2 linked regions of the Lepisosteus oculatus genome follow. The protein of the gene in region 1 purifies or fractionates together with the protein of each later gene. This does not show direct contact. Links are inferred from orthologs where the notes say so. Each region holds a gene or a part of one and is shown on either strand. Other genes may lie near its edges.

What was found.
Region 2: the proteins of psma3 (region 1) and psme1 purify together in Homo sapiens (affinity purification with western blotting; 4 studies listed by BioGRID, with this or other methods). This does not show direct contact. The link is inferred for Lepisosteus oculatus from reciprocal best matches to the Homo sapiens genes PSMA3 and PSME1.

Annotation. Positions count from the first base shown.
Region 1 is NC_090703.1:4,537,136-4,545,192, reverse strand, and holds the start of psma3 (proteasome subunit alpha type-3), read left to right. Parts: upstream 1-5,025; 5' UTR 5,026-5,143; coding exon 5,144-5,164; intron 5,165-6,168; coding exon 6,169-6,251; intron 6,252-6,704; coding exon 6,705-6,828; intron 6,829-6,961; coding exon 6,962-7,063; intron 7,064-7,515; coding exon 7,516-7,589; intron 7,590-8,057. Other genes in the region: mipol1 (mirror-image polydactyly gene 1 protein), read right to left, coding at 2,382-2,473. UniProt on the Homo sapiens protein: Component of the 20S core proteasome complex involved in the proteolytic degradation of most intracellular proteins. This complex plays numerous essential roles within the cell by associating with different regulatory particles.
Region 2 is NC_090699.1:14,406,806-14,414,488, reverse strand, and holds the start of psme1 (proteasome activator complex subunit 1), read left to right. Parts: upstream 1-4,643; 5' UTR 4,644-4,771; exon of another isoform or gene 4,772-4,860; 5' UTR 4,861-4,899; coding exon 4,900-4,938; intron 4,939-5,687; coding exon 5,688-5,720; intron 5,721-7,564; coding exon 7,565-7,627; intron 7,628-7,683. UniProt on the Homo sapiens protein: Implicated in immunoproteasome assembly and required for efficient antigen processing. The PA28 activator complex enhances the generation of class I binding peptides by altering the cleavage pattern of the proteasome.

The DNA.
Region 1 (8,057 bases):
TTAGAAAAAGGTCATTTCAGAGAGGGAAATTAACAGTTAATTAATTAAAATTATACACCTATGAATTTACTGCAATTTATGCATCTCGATTTTTAGAGAAAAAAAATGACACATAGGGTCTGACAACAACCTACATAGCCAGTGTGCTACAAGAAACTTTTAAATAACTTCTTAGTTTTTAATTGAGTGAGACAAGCTTATCACATGAACATCTTAACAGATTACAAAGCGGTTAGAGCTAATCTCTCTCATAACAAAGTATAGAGAAAGCTTAAAGAAGGGTTTAGATAGTGTACATTTCGCACAACCAAGATATCAAAAAAGAAGATGAATGAAAGAGAAAAAAAAAGAACAAAAACTGTTTAGAAAAATCTGATTTCATTACAAGTTTTGCAAAAGAAGACCAAGTTTGCATTTCACTGCTAAGCATTGGAGCGGGCAGGAATATTGGCTTGGTGTCTCTCCCTCTGGGAAAGAAAGCTCTGTGTTCTTTCCAATTCTGCACTCTGACCTCTTAATTTTTAAAGATTAATAAATAGGTCAAGGCTTCCCCCTAGAGGGAAAAGAGAAAAATAACTACGAAAGCATGGATGATGAGGAGTGCCATACTGCCTCATTCGCTACCAATTATCGGAAAGCTTCTCAGTTCTGGTACAGGCCACAGCAAGGTGTGATTATGCCCTGTGTGGAATACAGCACCCACACAGTCAGGGACAAGGACAATGACCTTTCAGAAACACCAGCTCACCTTGACAACACATCTTTCGGAGGTGAGAAGAAACTGGGGGACAAAACTGAACATGCAAACTCCACACAGAAGATGCCCTAGCTGGAACTGAGCTGTGAGGCAGCAGCGTTAACTGCCATGACACAGTGCTCCCCTGCACCACCACGCTTCAGAGTCACTCTGTGCCCAGCGACTGGTGGCTCCAGTCCTTGAGATTCAGTGGGTTCCCTGGCACCTGTTTGTCTGATCTGGCATTTCATCCCGAGAGCAAAGTGTGAAGGTTTTCTCAGGCAATGAACAATGATGGAGTTTTTGCAGTCTTATAGGAAAACAGATTATGAGCATTTCCTAAATAATAATAATTCCTTACACTTATATAGCCCTTTTCTGGTGATGAAGCCAGTTCATAGATAGGAATTATTAGGAAGCCATGATTGGTAAAGGACAGGGGGAAATTTGGCCAGGATGCCGGGGTTACACCCCTACTCTTTTCAAGAAATGCCCTGGGATTTTTAATGACCACAGAGAGTCAGGACCTTGGTTTTATATCGCAACCGAAGGACGGTGCCTTTTTACAGTATAGTGTCCTATCCACTATAAGTTATGGGCACTAGGACCCATACAGACCGTGGGATGAGCGCCCCCTACTGGCCCCTCTAACACATCTTACAGCAGGAACCTTAATTTCTCCCAGGTCAACCATCCAGGTACTGGCCAGGCTCACACCTGCCTAGATTCAGTGGGCTAAGGAAGATAAAATCAGCATAAGGTTTAAACTATTTTCTTGGATAAACCTGTTAACTCTAGGGATACTCATTATCTAGTGCGGAGACTGACATTAGCAAACAAAACAAACCATTTTAAGAGCCATATTCGTAACCAGAAACCAGTCTTTGCAGGTTCCTCTCCGCTGCTCAAGCGAACAACAACATGTTCAATATCTTGTTTCTAAAACAGATTGTGGTCTGACATAACCTCTTCCTATGATCAGCAAAACGAAAACCATCTAGCTCTCTTTACGCAGTTTTAACTAATTGCAATATGGGGACACTGTACTTCATTCTTTATTTACCGACCACGAGGGTGTTATAGCAATTAGGTCGAATACTTTTCCTGTGAAACATTTACTGTTTCTTTTTTTTTTTACTTTATATAGCTAGGATACTTTCCAGAGAATGTTTAAAGTTTTCGAAAAACAAGAGAAAATAGTGATTTCACAACTGATGGAAAAATTAGGAGTGAATGAGAATGTTAAATACATTGACAGTATACACTATTAACAGGACAATCATATATAAAGTAAATGTAAAACAATAGCGCCGGGTGCACAGAAACAATGTTAGCTGTAAGAGAAAAAAAAACTGTGGTTAAGTAAACGTTGAAAAGTAAAAAATGTGATAACGTGCAATGCCATAAAGCATGCCTTGGATTGGGTGTAAAATACATGATGAGTGACAGCTGGACAGTCAACAATACAGGCGAGCGGAACACAAACGCGAGTCGCACAGACACGAAATTGCACCTCCGGTTCGACCTTCGCCGATACTCTTGGGTCAGGAGAGCCGAGGCGCCCTGTTACTGTTGCACCGGTCTCAGCCGTGCGTTTGAAGACCGGGACCAACAACAGAGAGACCACAGCAGCAAGCGCACTTACATTTCGGCAAGTTCGCCTTGCAAACTCGCCATTTTCCGTTTAACCCTCTGAAGGGCGCTGTGCAAGTCAGGAGCCCGGCTGCTAGCGTGCATCGGCCCAGCAGAGCCCTGTCCTGCTCCATGCCCGGGGGGTGTTTCTCACAGAGCAGACCCCCTGCCTCCCCCCCGACAGCGTCTCCAGCAGCACTGGGCCGAAGCAGAAACCGCGAGCACTTCCAGGTCACCGGCTGCGGAATTGTTCTGGAAACAATGTAGTTGTTGTTGTTGAGCACCTTTTATCTTTAACAATCAAATACGTGTCACCGTGGTCGAAACTTTCAACTCCCCCCACACCACCCATGCGGTTCTGATATTACCAACATTATTTTACAAAGTATTTTAATGAACGTCAGATGAACAGAACTCCCATCTGAGCCTGGTTGTGAAAACGAATATTCATTGGATTTGTTTTAAGTCAATTCTTCGTGAATTGCATTTTTTCTCTCTCACTCAATTCGTATTTTGGTAGGATATACAATGACGAATTATTTCAGCCTTCAGCTTTTTGCAAATATATGCAATATATGCTTCTTTTTTGCAGAACTATCGCATCGATTTCATATAAAACATAATTTGAGAACAGACACCTTTTTTTTCGCATTTCAGGTGGGTTTAATTTTTTAATGGGAGACAGATATTTAAAATGTATTTTTTTTAATCCTCCAGTGCATTATCCTATCCTACTTTATGTCCGTTTAAAAACAAAATCATACTTTTAACTTTTTTTTTCTTGGAACAGCGAGACACATCTACGTGCATCTATTTAAAAAAAGAGTTATTGAAAATCGTGTCATGAGCACAACGTCCGCGATTTCACAACTTGTAGGTTCTTCGACATGTGTACTTGTAGTTTTCTTGATTAAAACTGTAGTCACCTGTTTACACTTTGGGAAACAACAAACACAGCGGTACACATCACTTACCGAAAAAGACAGGTTCTCGAGCAGACCGATGGTGATTTTCTGTTTATATCACGGCTAGTAACTTCTATATATTATTATTATTGTTGTTGTTGTTGTTGTTCGGATTTGTGTCCTAACAGAGAAACTTTTTCTTCCGCTGATGTCACGTTTCCACTTGGGAAGACGACGAGAGAAAATGCCCTGGAGTGAGTGAGGTGTCTGGTTGCAGGCAAGTGGGGCGCTGTGAATCCTGAAGAGGGCAGTCGAACGCTTTGGATAAGGAAAGGGAAAGTACACTAGTCAGCCATTATTTGGGCTGAATACTTCAGCCACAAAAGTAAATGGTCTAATACTGCTCACCCTATCCATGCTTTTAAAGTTGAATTCCCTTTTTATTTGAATTCTATTAGAAATTTAAAGAATCAAAAGGCAATGGAGATATTTCCATACAATGAAAATATGTAAAAAGTATAACTTTTAGCTTGTCAATTCCCCTGGGTGTGAAGTGTCTATTTCTGTATCTATTTTAATATTCTGTCTCCTTTTTTTTGTATTTCTGGGGTTTCAATAAAAACTTATTGAAAATACTTATTTCAAAACTTATTGAAACGTATTTAAAAAACGTATTTTTAAAAAAGTACAGTAGTAAGAAATGAGGCGTATCTCCTTCTTAATCCACCTTAATGTTAACATTATGGGGGATTTGGTCCATCAGTAGATCTGAGCTTTTCCTTTGAATAATTATCTTGAATCTGTCACACTAGAACTAGCTTTTAATTTGCTTAGGAACATTCACAATACTTTACACATTTACATGAACTTACATTGCACCTTGGGTTAAAACGTGCTATACAAATGTAAGTAGTTTAAAGTAGTTTAACATTACTCATAGTTATTCTTGTCCAAAACTATTGTTCATCATTTTTTTGTTTTGAAATGCATTGCTCCTGAGTTTCTCTATTATTTCTAATTATTTTTATTATGTGTGGTAGATATGGGGAAGCTGATAGCACCCACCTGTTATTGTAGCGACCTGAGTATACGGAACAATCGCACATAAACAAAACTACAAGCCTGGATGTCGAAAATGACTTATTCAATTAAGTATGACACAAATAATATGTTAAAGTATATATACATATATATTTCAAATCTGGTATTGTATACATTTCCAACCATCTGTATGAGAAAAGCATTTTTAATTGAAAAAGACAGAACTAGTATAAGATTTTATTGTCCCCTGAGGGAATTTTTTTATGGACACCACGCACTCCCGTACATTTAAATAGAATGCAAACACCAAAAAAAAGAAGAAAAGAAAAACATTGCACATTCTTCTATTACAAAAAATAAGAAAAACAATGCACATCACTCTATTGCACATGCACAGTATAACACATAACAACATGTAACATTTATAACGCATCACAAATCATAAACAGTGTATACATATATGAAATCATTGCTTCGGAATTTCTGCTGTATTTTTCGAGAAGGTACGCGTGGTACAAACGGACTCTCCACTCTGCGTGAAGCAGAATCGCAAGAAGTTTGATGAGCCACAACCCCGTACAACGTGACGGCTTTCCAAAGGGGAAACAGGCCGTTTTGTCCTTTCCACCAGCAGGCGGCGCTGTCCGAAGAGCCGAGGACAGTCCCGGCAGCGCCGCTCATCCCAGTGGGGCGAGATTTCAGCCAATCGGCTTGTGCGTTGTTAGCCGGTGGGAGAGTGTGGCAAGTCGGGAAATTGACAAACCTAGCCAGCGAGAAAGAACAGCTTGTAGGGGCAACAATACATATATTCTTGACGTTGTAGCCCAAAATGAGTTCAATTGGCACCGGGGTAAGCGACGAGTCTTTGAAATGTCTGCCATTATGGCGGATAAATTACTGTATCTTAGCAAAGTTGGGCATTTTTAGAACTAAGCGTTTTCCGGCCTTTTTAGCTAGCCGTACGTGAGCGGTGAGGTCCGCTGAATTTCGGTGGCTTCTTGTTGTGCTTTCAGTCATGAACGTGTCTGTCACGGAGAGGTTGTCTCTCTTGTACTTTGTTTTTTATTTTTTTTTTTGCTCTGTGAGATACGCTGCAAGGCGCTGATAACGATTGTCCGGAGGACTGTGCGGACTTGTATGCTTGCTGAGTCACTAGCTCGGTCGGCGATGGTGAAAGTGAAAGCGATTGGTACTTGTAGCAATTTGTTAGCAACTCATCATAGAGTCAGTACTACCCATTCCTTCCTATTATATTTATATTTTATTTCCTTCCTATTTTATACATTATTTAATTATAGGAAGGCAAGCATGACTTTGGGCGGGGGGGGGTCTGTGGGAATGATTGGGTTTTAAGTCATGTTACCGTTGCCTGTATTGTTGTTTTTCCATTTTGAAAGAGTAGAAATGATAAACAATATTCAACACAAGGTGGAACACAAGGCAGAAATGGAAAAGATGTGCTTTGAATTGTTATATTTTAACGTGTAATTCGATATTATAATTGTAATTCACCGGGTGCAATCAGAGGCTTCTCTATTTAAGCTCGTTAAAACAACTCTGCACAGAAGAGTACTATATTTTTGTCTAATACCTAGATTGGGGCACGGGGATGCCACGTTTACCATTTGTTGTTTTTTTTCATTCGTAAAGCAAAATGACAAAGACTTGACGTGAATTAATGTGATTGTCACAGACACATCTCAGAATAATTTACCAATTTGTTTCGAATTATGGCTGAATAGCACAGATGGCACCCATGTGAGCTACACTGATGTGATGTATGAACTCTGAAAGAAGTGGTTTCACAGAGCTCAATCCTCCCGTCTGATTGTGGTTGTACACCTCTGATTTCAGTATGATTTGTCTGCATCTACATTCTCCCCAGACGGGAGAGTTTTTCAAGTTGAATACGCCATGAAAGCAGTAGAAAACAGCAGGTGAGTCTTGTCTCCTCTTTCTGAACTGTGAATGCAGAAAGGAGTTGGTGTTGTGAAGAAAATTGCAAAGGCATGCTTAACGTTTTGTACACCTTTGCTGCTGATGTGCCTGTTAGATACTTAGTGCTGCGCAAAACACATGTGATTGTCGTGAGCTGCTGCATGGCAATGACTTTGAAGACTAGTTTCCACTGGCATTTCAGCGGTAAAACTAAAGTGATGTCATGGCTCCAGGAAATATTGATTCAGTGGGTACAAAGATAGAGAAGTGTGTGTGTGCAGTGTACTATATTAGTCCCATCAGAAGCTCAGAATATTTTTTGATTGTTTGCTTCAGTCCATTGGTTTTTAAGAAGGGACTAAACACCTGGTCTGTTCATACTCTTTGGATTCTCCCAGCCAGAATTTGCTCTCATTGCTGCTACTAAAATGGTTTTTGTTTCCGTTCTGTAGCACAGCCATTGGGATCAGGTGCAAAGATGGGGTGGTGTTTGGAGTTGAAAAGCTTGTCCTCTCCAAGCTGTATGAAGAGGGTTCAAACAAACGCATCTTCAACATCGACCGGCATGTGGGAATGGTAATGTCTGTTTCAGCATTTCACCAAAAAAGGCTAGGCTGCGAGTTGGCATTCTTTCACACTTTTAGATGTAAAATACCCATTAGAAAAGATGGTAAAGGAGCATAAAGATGCCTTTCGTTTTGCCCCACAGGCGGTGGCAGGACTCTTGGCAGATGCGCGATCTCTTTCGGAAATTGCGCGAGAGGAGGCTTCCAACTTCAGGTCCAATTATGGTCATGACATTCCCTTGAAGGTAGGAGATTTTTTTAACAACCATAAAATAGTCCCTAAGCCACCATTATCATCCCATTAAAAAGAATGGTTCATTTTCGTGTAACTTCTGACGAAAGATGTTTAGTCCTTGACCTCTTCATTCGAAAGAGAAGTAGAAACTGACAGAAGTTACCAGTACGCACAGTGACAGATCACATTTACTAGGAGGAAATACCTTCTTGAAAGAAAATGGTGTTTTTTTCTGATATTGCTTTGACAAGAGGCAAGATTTCATGTAGAAGATGTATTTATTTCACAGATGCCTTCACACAAGGAAGGCAACATTTGGTAAAAACAGCAACTGAACTGTATTATGTAACTTCTGCACTGTTTATTTTTACAATTTTAAAGAGATTCCGTGTATGGTCGGCTTATTCTGGGGTAGTAGCATGGAGTGATAGTCTGATTACAACTTCTGTCTTATTCTTGCAGCACCTTGCTGACAGAGTGGCCATGTACGTGCACGCGTACACCCTGTACAGTGCGGTCAGGCCCTTCGGGTGCAGGTAATGGGATTCAATCTTTGTTTATTAACAGTGGCGAATAACTACTTTAAAATACACTGTACTATGTGCCTGTGTAAGTAAATGACAAAGTTGAACTGAATTTCCATGTGTATTGTAGTTTCAGCTGTAGGCAAATCTAGTAAAATACAGTATCTGGGGCTGTGATGTACAGTTAGAATATTGTGAAAAGAGAGACATGGCTGCTATAATAAAGAAGCCTTATAGTTCTGTTTAAGTCCAGCAATCGGCCCTAGTAAACTAAAATTAAATGAAAATTGGCATTAAATACTTTAGTGAAATGCTTGGTCTTTCTGTAATTATAGTCTTATGTTTTTCTATCTCACACAGTCTCTTGTAGATTTGTCAGTGAGTTCCACAGTTGTGGTGCTGCTGCACACGTAAAGGCTCTGCTGTTCTGTGTGTGGAGCCTGAATCAGCAGAGTAAAACAGCCTGAATCAGCAGATATC
Region 2 (7,683 bases), on another chromosome or scaffold:
AATCTTCTTCACTAGAGGAACTGAAGAGAATCCTCTTTACTAGAGGAACTGTAGAGAATCCTCTTTACTAGAGGAACTGTAGAGAATCCTGTTCACTAGAGGGACTGCAGTGAATCCTCTTTACTAGAGGAACTGTAGTGAATCCTCTTTACTAGAGGAACTGTAGTGAATCCTGTTCACTAGAGGAACTGTAGTGAGTCCTGTTCACTAGAGAGACTGTAGTGAATCTTCTTCACTAGAGGAACTGAAGAGAATCCTGTTCACTAGAGAGACTGTAGTGAATCTTCTTCACTAGAGGAACTGAAGAGAATCCTCTTTACTAGAGGAACTGTAGAGAATCCTGTTCACTAGAGGGACTGTAGTGAATCCTCTTTACTAGAGGAACTGTAGAGAATCCTGTTCACTAGTGGGACTGTAGTGAATTCTCTCACTAGAGGGAATGTAGTGAATTCTCTCACTAGAGGGATGTAGAGAATCCTCTTTACTAGAGGGAATGTAGTGAATCCTGCTCACTAAAGGGACTGAAGTGAATTCTCTAGAGAGTGTAGATAATCTTCCATGAAGTAGCTGACATGGAAAAGGTGTGTTGGTACCAAAGAGTGGAGAGTCTGTTAAGCGAGGTCATTTAACATGAATATTTTAGTTGATCATTTCAGGTGATTAACTGCGCAAAGCCAAAATCTGAATAATAAATTCAAATAACAGAAGCAGAAATTCTTTATTTTGTGAAAGAGAATTATCTGATTCTGCAGTCTTGACCTAATTCATCAGTGGCAACGTGTTATCTCCAGATCACTCCCCTTCAGCCACGTCCGGTCGCTCGGTGTCCCGGAACGACGTGGCCGGGTGACGCCTCTGCCACCTGGTGGACAACCCGGCAAACTACAGCTCGGTCCCGGAGCGCGCTGCAGCTTGTGAAGACGTGACACGCGGCACGACGCGCGCCCTGCCGCTCTGCAGGTGAGACACGGCGTCGCAGGCACCGCCGCAGGTGCTAGGGTCCGAAACAGGGTCACTCACAAGGTCAGGGGTTCCAGTCCTGGTCTTGGGGAGCCCCAGTCCCCAGTCTTGTAGGTCAGGGGTTCCAGTCCTGGTCCTGGGGAGATAATTACAAATCTGGGGTGAGTTTCCCCGAAAACGCTGAATCATAGAGACTAACGAGCAGCATTACGATGTACGTACTACTTTTTCGCGCGTTTCCCCAAACCCCCCCTTAATCGGTCATTTTAGAGCGAGTATAAAGTACTTCTTTGCTCACCCCGCCCCTGAAGTCGCTTAGCAAAATTGCTGATAAAACAATCGATCGACGATACGTTCATTATATGGTGTCGGTTTTGGTCCTTCAGTGGGTTGAAATTAAGTTGTGAAAAGGAATATGAAGTAAACACGACATCATAATTTAACAGCCATTCAAGCGAAAGCGTATCGATAGGCACAAAATGGGACACTTATTGTTTCTAAGAGAAAAGAAAATAAATGACTGACGTGCCGTAAAAGAAAACCAAGACTGACTGTGTGGAGAGTGTATGCATCCTGCACGGCGTCTTCGATTTAAAGCAATATTTTTTAGCGCGCTGCCACTGTTAAGAATCAGTGTTTCATGAGAAAATACTGCTGTTATTAATAGTTATTGGGTTTATTGGAACTCCATTTTAATCGGTCTTATTAACACGACATCTGTAACAATGAACTAACCAAGCTTGGCACTCAACTCGACAAATACAGGACCAATAATCAAGTTTGAAAAGAAGCAGGTCTAAGCTTTACCGTCATCAATCACGACAGAACATAAAACGGTATTGGACTTTTAAATATGGCATCGACCGCGGGTTTCGGTAGGGAACGGAGCGGGCGTGGGGCTCGAGGAATGGGGTTGAACAACACATTTAATAACGAGAAACGAGGAAAGGTGCATACACAGGGACAGGGGTTACAGCGCTGCACACACACACACAGGGGCTGGGTCCAGAGTGAGCCCGGGGCTGAGGGGGGAGAGAGAGGAACTCTAACACTCTCTCACTCTCACTCTCACTCACACACACACACACACACACACACACAGGGGCTGGGTCCAGAGTGAGCCCGGGGCTGAGGGGGGAAAGAGAGGAACTCTAACACTCTCACACTCTAACACACACACACACAGGGGCTGAGGGGAGAGAGAGGAACTCTAACACTCTCACACACACACACACACACACACACACAGGGACAGGGACAGGGGTTACAGCCCTGCACACACACACAGGGGCTGGGTCCAGAGTGAGCCCGGGGCTGAGGGGGGAGAGAGAGGAACTCTAACACTCTCTCACACACACACACACACACACACACAGGGACAGGGGTTACAGCCCTGCACACACACACACAGGGGCTGGGTCCAGAGTGAGCCCGGGGCTGAGGGGGGAGAGAGAGGAACTCTAACACTCTCTCACACACACACACAAACACAAACACAAACACACACACAGGGGCTGGGTCCAGAGTGAGCCCGGGGCTGAGGGGGGAGAGAGAGGAACTCTAACACTCTCTCACTCTCACTCTCACTCACACACACACACACACACACACACACACACACAGGGGCTGGGTCCAGAGTGAGCCCGGGGCTGAGGGGGGAAAGAGAGGAACTCTAACACTCTCACACTCTAACACACACACACACAGGGGCTGAGGGGAGAGAGAGGAACTCTAACACTCTCACACACACACACACACACACACACACACAGGGACAGGGACAGGGGTTACAGCCCTGCACACACACACACAGGGGCTGGGTCCAGAGTGAGCCCGGGGCTGAGGGGGGAGAGAGAGGAACTCTAACACTCTCTCACACACACACACAAACACAAACACAAACACACACACAGGGGCTGGGTCCAGAGTGAGCCCGGGGCTGAGGGGGGAGAGAGAGGAACTCTAACACTCTCTCACACACACACACGAAGGGAAGAGAGTGTCTCCCAGCCTCCGCCCGGCTCTACACAGCCCCGCAGTCCCGCCCCCGGGCGCTGTTCTCAGTCCGCCCTGGCGTGCGCCTGCTTACGCGCCCTGCGTGGCGCAACAGTATAAATACATGTGAGACCCAATGATTTCACTTAAATAAGGCATTACTGCATTTCATCGCGGCAATCATATCATCTAGTCAAGTATAAGACTTAGCCGTTTTTATTTTTGAATGAAGTGTATTGTAACGGATTGGGGTTCTCTGGGCATGCGCCCTCGCCGCTCCCGTACAAACAGGTAGAGGGGAAATACAGATGAAAGACAGACAACATAAACAGAACAAAAACACAATTAACTGCCAGCGGGAATGAGGTGAATATTTATGTAACCAAGCTACATGTTTACAAATATCAAATGTTTTCCTTGCTTTAGCATTTTTGCACGTTCTTTATGGAATTTAAATCCAGTTTAAACTCCACCTCAAAGGTACTAAAGGAGGGAGTATTATTGGCCCATTTGACTAATAAATTCATTACTGTATAAATAAATGTTCGTTTTCCAAATTTCCTCTTACATGGTACAGCAAAATATCAAACTCCTTCATATAAACTCTTAGTGTCCTGTATTCCCAGAGGATGCCCCTGCCGTGAAGTGACGGTGCTCTGTCTGGGATCTCTGGCGCTCAGGGTGGGCAGGAGGAGGCCAGTTTAAGAAGCCCTTAGTGATGAACGAGCGGGTCGGGGAGCACGTCGAGTGCGAAGGGTTTAACGTGCTACTTCAGTAACGACGGATTTGGGGAAACACTCGTCAATTAACGATCGATCTTAAGCTCGAGTTTACGATGTTCTCAGCGTCTTTATAGTGTATGGCTTAAGCAATAGCTCATCTCCAGCGTGCAAGCGTTAGAAGCGGGGAGTAGCATCGGAGCCTTTTTTATTTGTTTTTTATTAAACATATAAAGAATTTACAAATACAACTACAACCATAGGATCCGAAACAGACAGGTACGAGAGAAAAAAACACAAACAGAAAAAAAAAACATTTAACCGCCAGAGGTAGTGAAGTAAATGATGTGATCAAATTGTATTTTTATATATATCATGTGTTTTCCTTGCTTCATTATTTCTCAAATTTATTATAGAAATTAAAAAGTGTTTCAGCTCCACTTCAAAAGCACTAAAAAGGGGAGTACTATTAGACCATTTTGATTTATGAATGTGACATTTACCATGAATGACTTATACATTTTCTTTAAATAAATGCTCTTTTTCCAAATTTTCTATTCAACAGTACAATAAGCGTCGGAGCTTGTGGGGACAGGGACGTCACAGGGTGCCTCGGTCGCCGTGACGTCACGACAGCAGCGAGCCGCCGAGACGCTCTCGGGTACCGGAGCGAGTTCAGAGACTCTCCCCCCGCACGTAACACGAAAAGTGATTATTCAGCCTCTTATAAATAAATATTGCTCCTAAATCAATGCGGGTTGGCATAAGATCACAAAAGACTATTACTGAAGAAATAAATACCTGTATAATATGCACATGATTTAGAAAGTTAAAGATACGGACGAAGCTAGGCATGGGAGTTGTAGTTCCTTTGCGCCGCTTTCGACGCTTCAGTCAACCGGGACGGCCGGGGCTAGAAGACTACAAGGAAATCCCCATGAGTGAAGTTGAGTTTTTTGTTCTGTTAGTTCGTATGTTCGGGTTTCTCCATAACTTTCGGTTTCACTTCGACAGTGCTGACTAACCGTGTCTGTCGAGGCCTGCAGCAGCGCACATCTTCAGATAACATTCACCTTCGAAGGGGGTATAATCGCACGGTAAATTGCACGATAGCCAATTGTAACGCAGGTGAACTTGCTGTCGTGATAATAGCGATAGTCGTGACAGTAATCGGTGTTTCCAGCAGCAAAGCCCGGACGAGACCTTACTCAAGTACCGCACCGCGATGAATCCGCTGGAAATGAAGCCAGAGACGAAGAAACAGGTTATTGTTGTTGTTGTTGTTATTATTATTATTATTATTATTATTATTATTATTATTATTATTATTATTATTATTATTATTATTATTGAGAGATGAGGGGGCAGTAGTCTAGGAAAGAGAGAGACAGACAGATCTCGGAGTGTGCGAGTGTAATCCGACTCTCTGTGTCTGCACCTCCTGAGCTACACCTGTCAAAACACTGACTCCTAGACTGGGAGAGAGGAGGAGGGGGTTGTGAGGGGTCTGGAGAGGAGAGAGGGGTGGAGAGGAGAGAGGGGTTGTGAGGGGTCTGGAGAGGAGAGAGGGGTGGGGAGGAGGAGAGAGAGATGAGAGAGGGGATGTGAGGGGTCTGGAGAGGAGAGAGGGGTGGAGAGGAGGAGAGAGGGGGGTTGTGAGGGGTCTGGAGAGGAGGAGAGAGGGGTTGTGAGGGGTCTGGAGAGGAGAGAGGGGTGGAGAGGAGGAGAGAGGGGGGTTGTGAGGGGTCTGGAGAGGAGAGGAGGAGGGAGAGTGGAGAGAAGGAGGGAGAGGGTTTGTGAGGGGTCTGGAGACCCTCTGGAGAGGGATTAGAGAGGAGAGAGGGGAGAGACTGAGGAGAGAGGGGAGGGATTGGAGAGGGGAGAGACTGAGGAGAGAGGAGAGGGATTGGAGAGGAGAGAGGAGAGAGGGATTGGAGAGGAGAGAGGGACTGGAGAGGGGAGAGAGTGAACTGTGAGGAGTTGGACGATGATGTGTCTCGCTGTGTTTTGCAGGTCGATGGATTCTGTGCACAGCTGTCCAAAGAGGTGAGCCCACTCAGAGCGCATGGCAGGTCACAGGAGTCCCCGCTGTCTGCTCGGCTGCTGTGTATCAGCTGTGTGTCGCGTCTGTGCTGTGTGCATTTTTGCTGTGTTGTGTTAACTGTGGGTCACGTGGACTTGTGCATTAGCTGTGTGCAGTGTTCGTGGGGTGTTATAGTTGTGTGTTAATTGTGTGTTGTGTGTTGTCTCTGTGTTGTGTTAACTGTGTGTCACTTGTAGACTTGTGCATTAGCTGTCGCCAGGTGTCGGGGGCTGTCCTGTGGTCAAGCTCCTGCAGTTCAGAGAGGGGCAGCGTGGGGCTGTCGTGTGGTCGAGCTCCTGCGGTTCAGAGAGGGGCAGCGTGGGGCTGTCGTGTGGCCGAGCTCCTGCGGTTCAGAGAGGGGCAGCGTGGGGCTGTCGTGTGGTCGAGCTCCTGCGGTTCAGAGAGGGGCAGCGTGGGGCTGTCGTGTGGTCAAGCTCCTGCAGTTCAGAGAGGGGCAGCGTGGGGCTGTCGTGTGGTCGAGCCCCTGCGGTTCAGAGAGGGGCAGCATGGGGCTGTCGTGTGGTCAAGCTCCTGCAGTTCAGAGAGGGGCAGCGTGGGGCTGTCGTGTGGTCAAGCTCCTGCAGTTCAGAGAGGGGCAGCGTGGGGCTGTCGTGTGGTCGAGCTCCTGCGGTTCAGAGAGGGGCAGCGTGGGGCTGTCGTGTGGTCGAGCTCCTGCGGTTCAGAGAGGGGCAGCGTGGGGCTGTCGTGTGGTCAAGCTCCTGCGGTTCAGAGAGGGGCAGCGTGGGGCTGTCGTGTGGTCAAGCTCCTGCAGTTCAGAGAGGGGCAGCGTGGGGCTGTCGTGTGGTCGAGCTCCTGCAGTTCAGAGAGGGGCAGCGTGGGGCTGTCGTGTGGTCGAGCTCCTGCGGTTCAGAGAGGGGCAGCGTGGGGCTGTCGTGTGGTCGAGCTCCTGCGGTTCAGAGAGGGGCAGCGTGGGCCCCAGCGAGCCGGACTCCTGCACCCCTCCAGCAGACAGGAGAGGCTGGCGAAGTGTTTTGTTCAGGGAACTGTCGCTCTCAGAGGGAGGTGCACCCAGACTGGGGGATGGCTCCGTTGCCTAGTTGTGTGAAGTCCTGGGGTGGGCGCTGGTGAGGGCAGAGTAGTTGGAAATTGGGGTGTAAACGTGCTACAGCTGAGCAAGGCGCCCCAGAAGGCCTCCGAAGAGACAGAACAAAAATTGTGTGGTGGTGTGGTCTATCTCTCCGGTAGTGTGGTCAGGCTCTCCAGTGGTGTGGTCAGACTCTCTAGTGGTGTGGTCAGGCTCTCTGGTGGTGTGGTCAGGCTCTCTGGTGGTGTGATCAGGCTCTCTGGTGGTGTGGTTAGGCTCTCTGGTGGTGTGGTCAGGCTCTCTGGTGGTGTGGTTAGGCTCTCTGGTGGTGTGGTTAGGCTCTCTGGTGGTGTGATCAGGCTCTCTGGTGGTGTGATCAGGCTCTCTGGTGGTGTGGTTAGGCTCTCTGGTGGTGTGATCAGGCTCTCTGGTGGTGTGGTCAGACTCTCTGGTGGTGTGGTCAGGCTCTCTGGTGGTGTGGTCAGGCTCTCTGGTGGTGTGGTCAGACTCTCTGGTGGTGTGGTCAAGCTGTTTGGGAAGGGAAGCCAGGCTGCGGTGCAGTCAGGTTACTCCTGAAAGGGTGTCCTGGGGGAGGGAGAGCCAGGGCTTGGGGGCGCCCTGGAGCTGGAGCTGGAGCCCATGTGAGCGGTTTGGGGTCCGAGCAGGCCCCTCCGCGCCCGGCCGGTCGGGTGGCGCGCTGCTGTGGGGGATCTGCCTGCAGGAGCGTGCTCACGGGCTGCCCTGACGTGTCTCTCCTCGCAGGCCGAGAATCTGGTCGCCTCCTTCTTCCCCCAGAAGATCGCGGAGATGGAGGCCCTGCTGCTGGTACGGACTGTGTGACTGTGTGTGTGTCCTGGTGCAGTTCAGTGTGTGGTACAGCG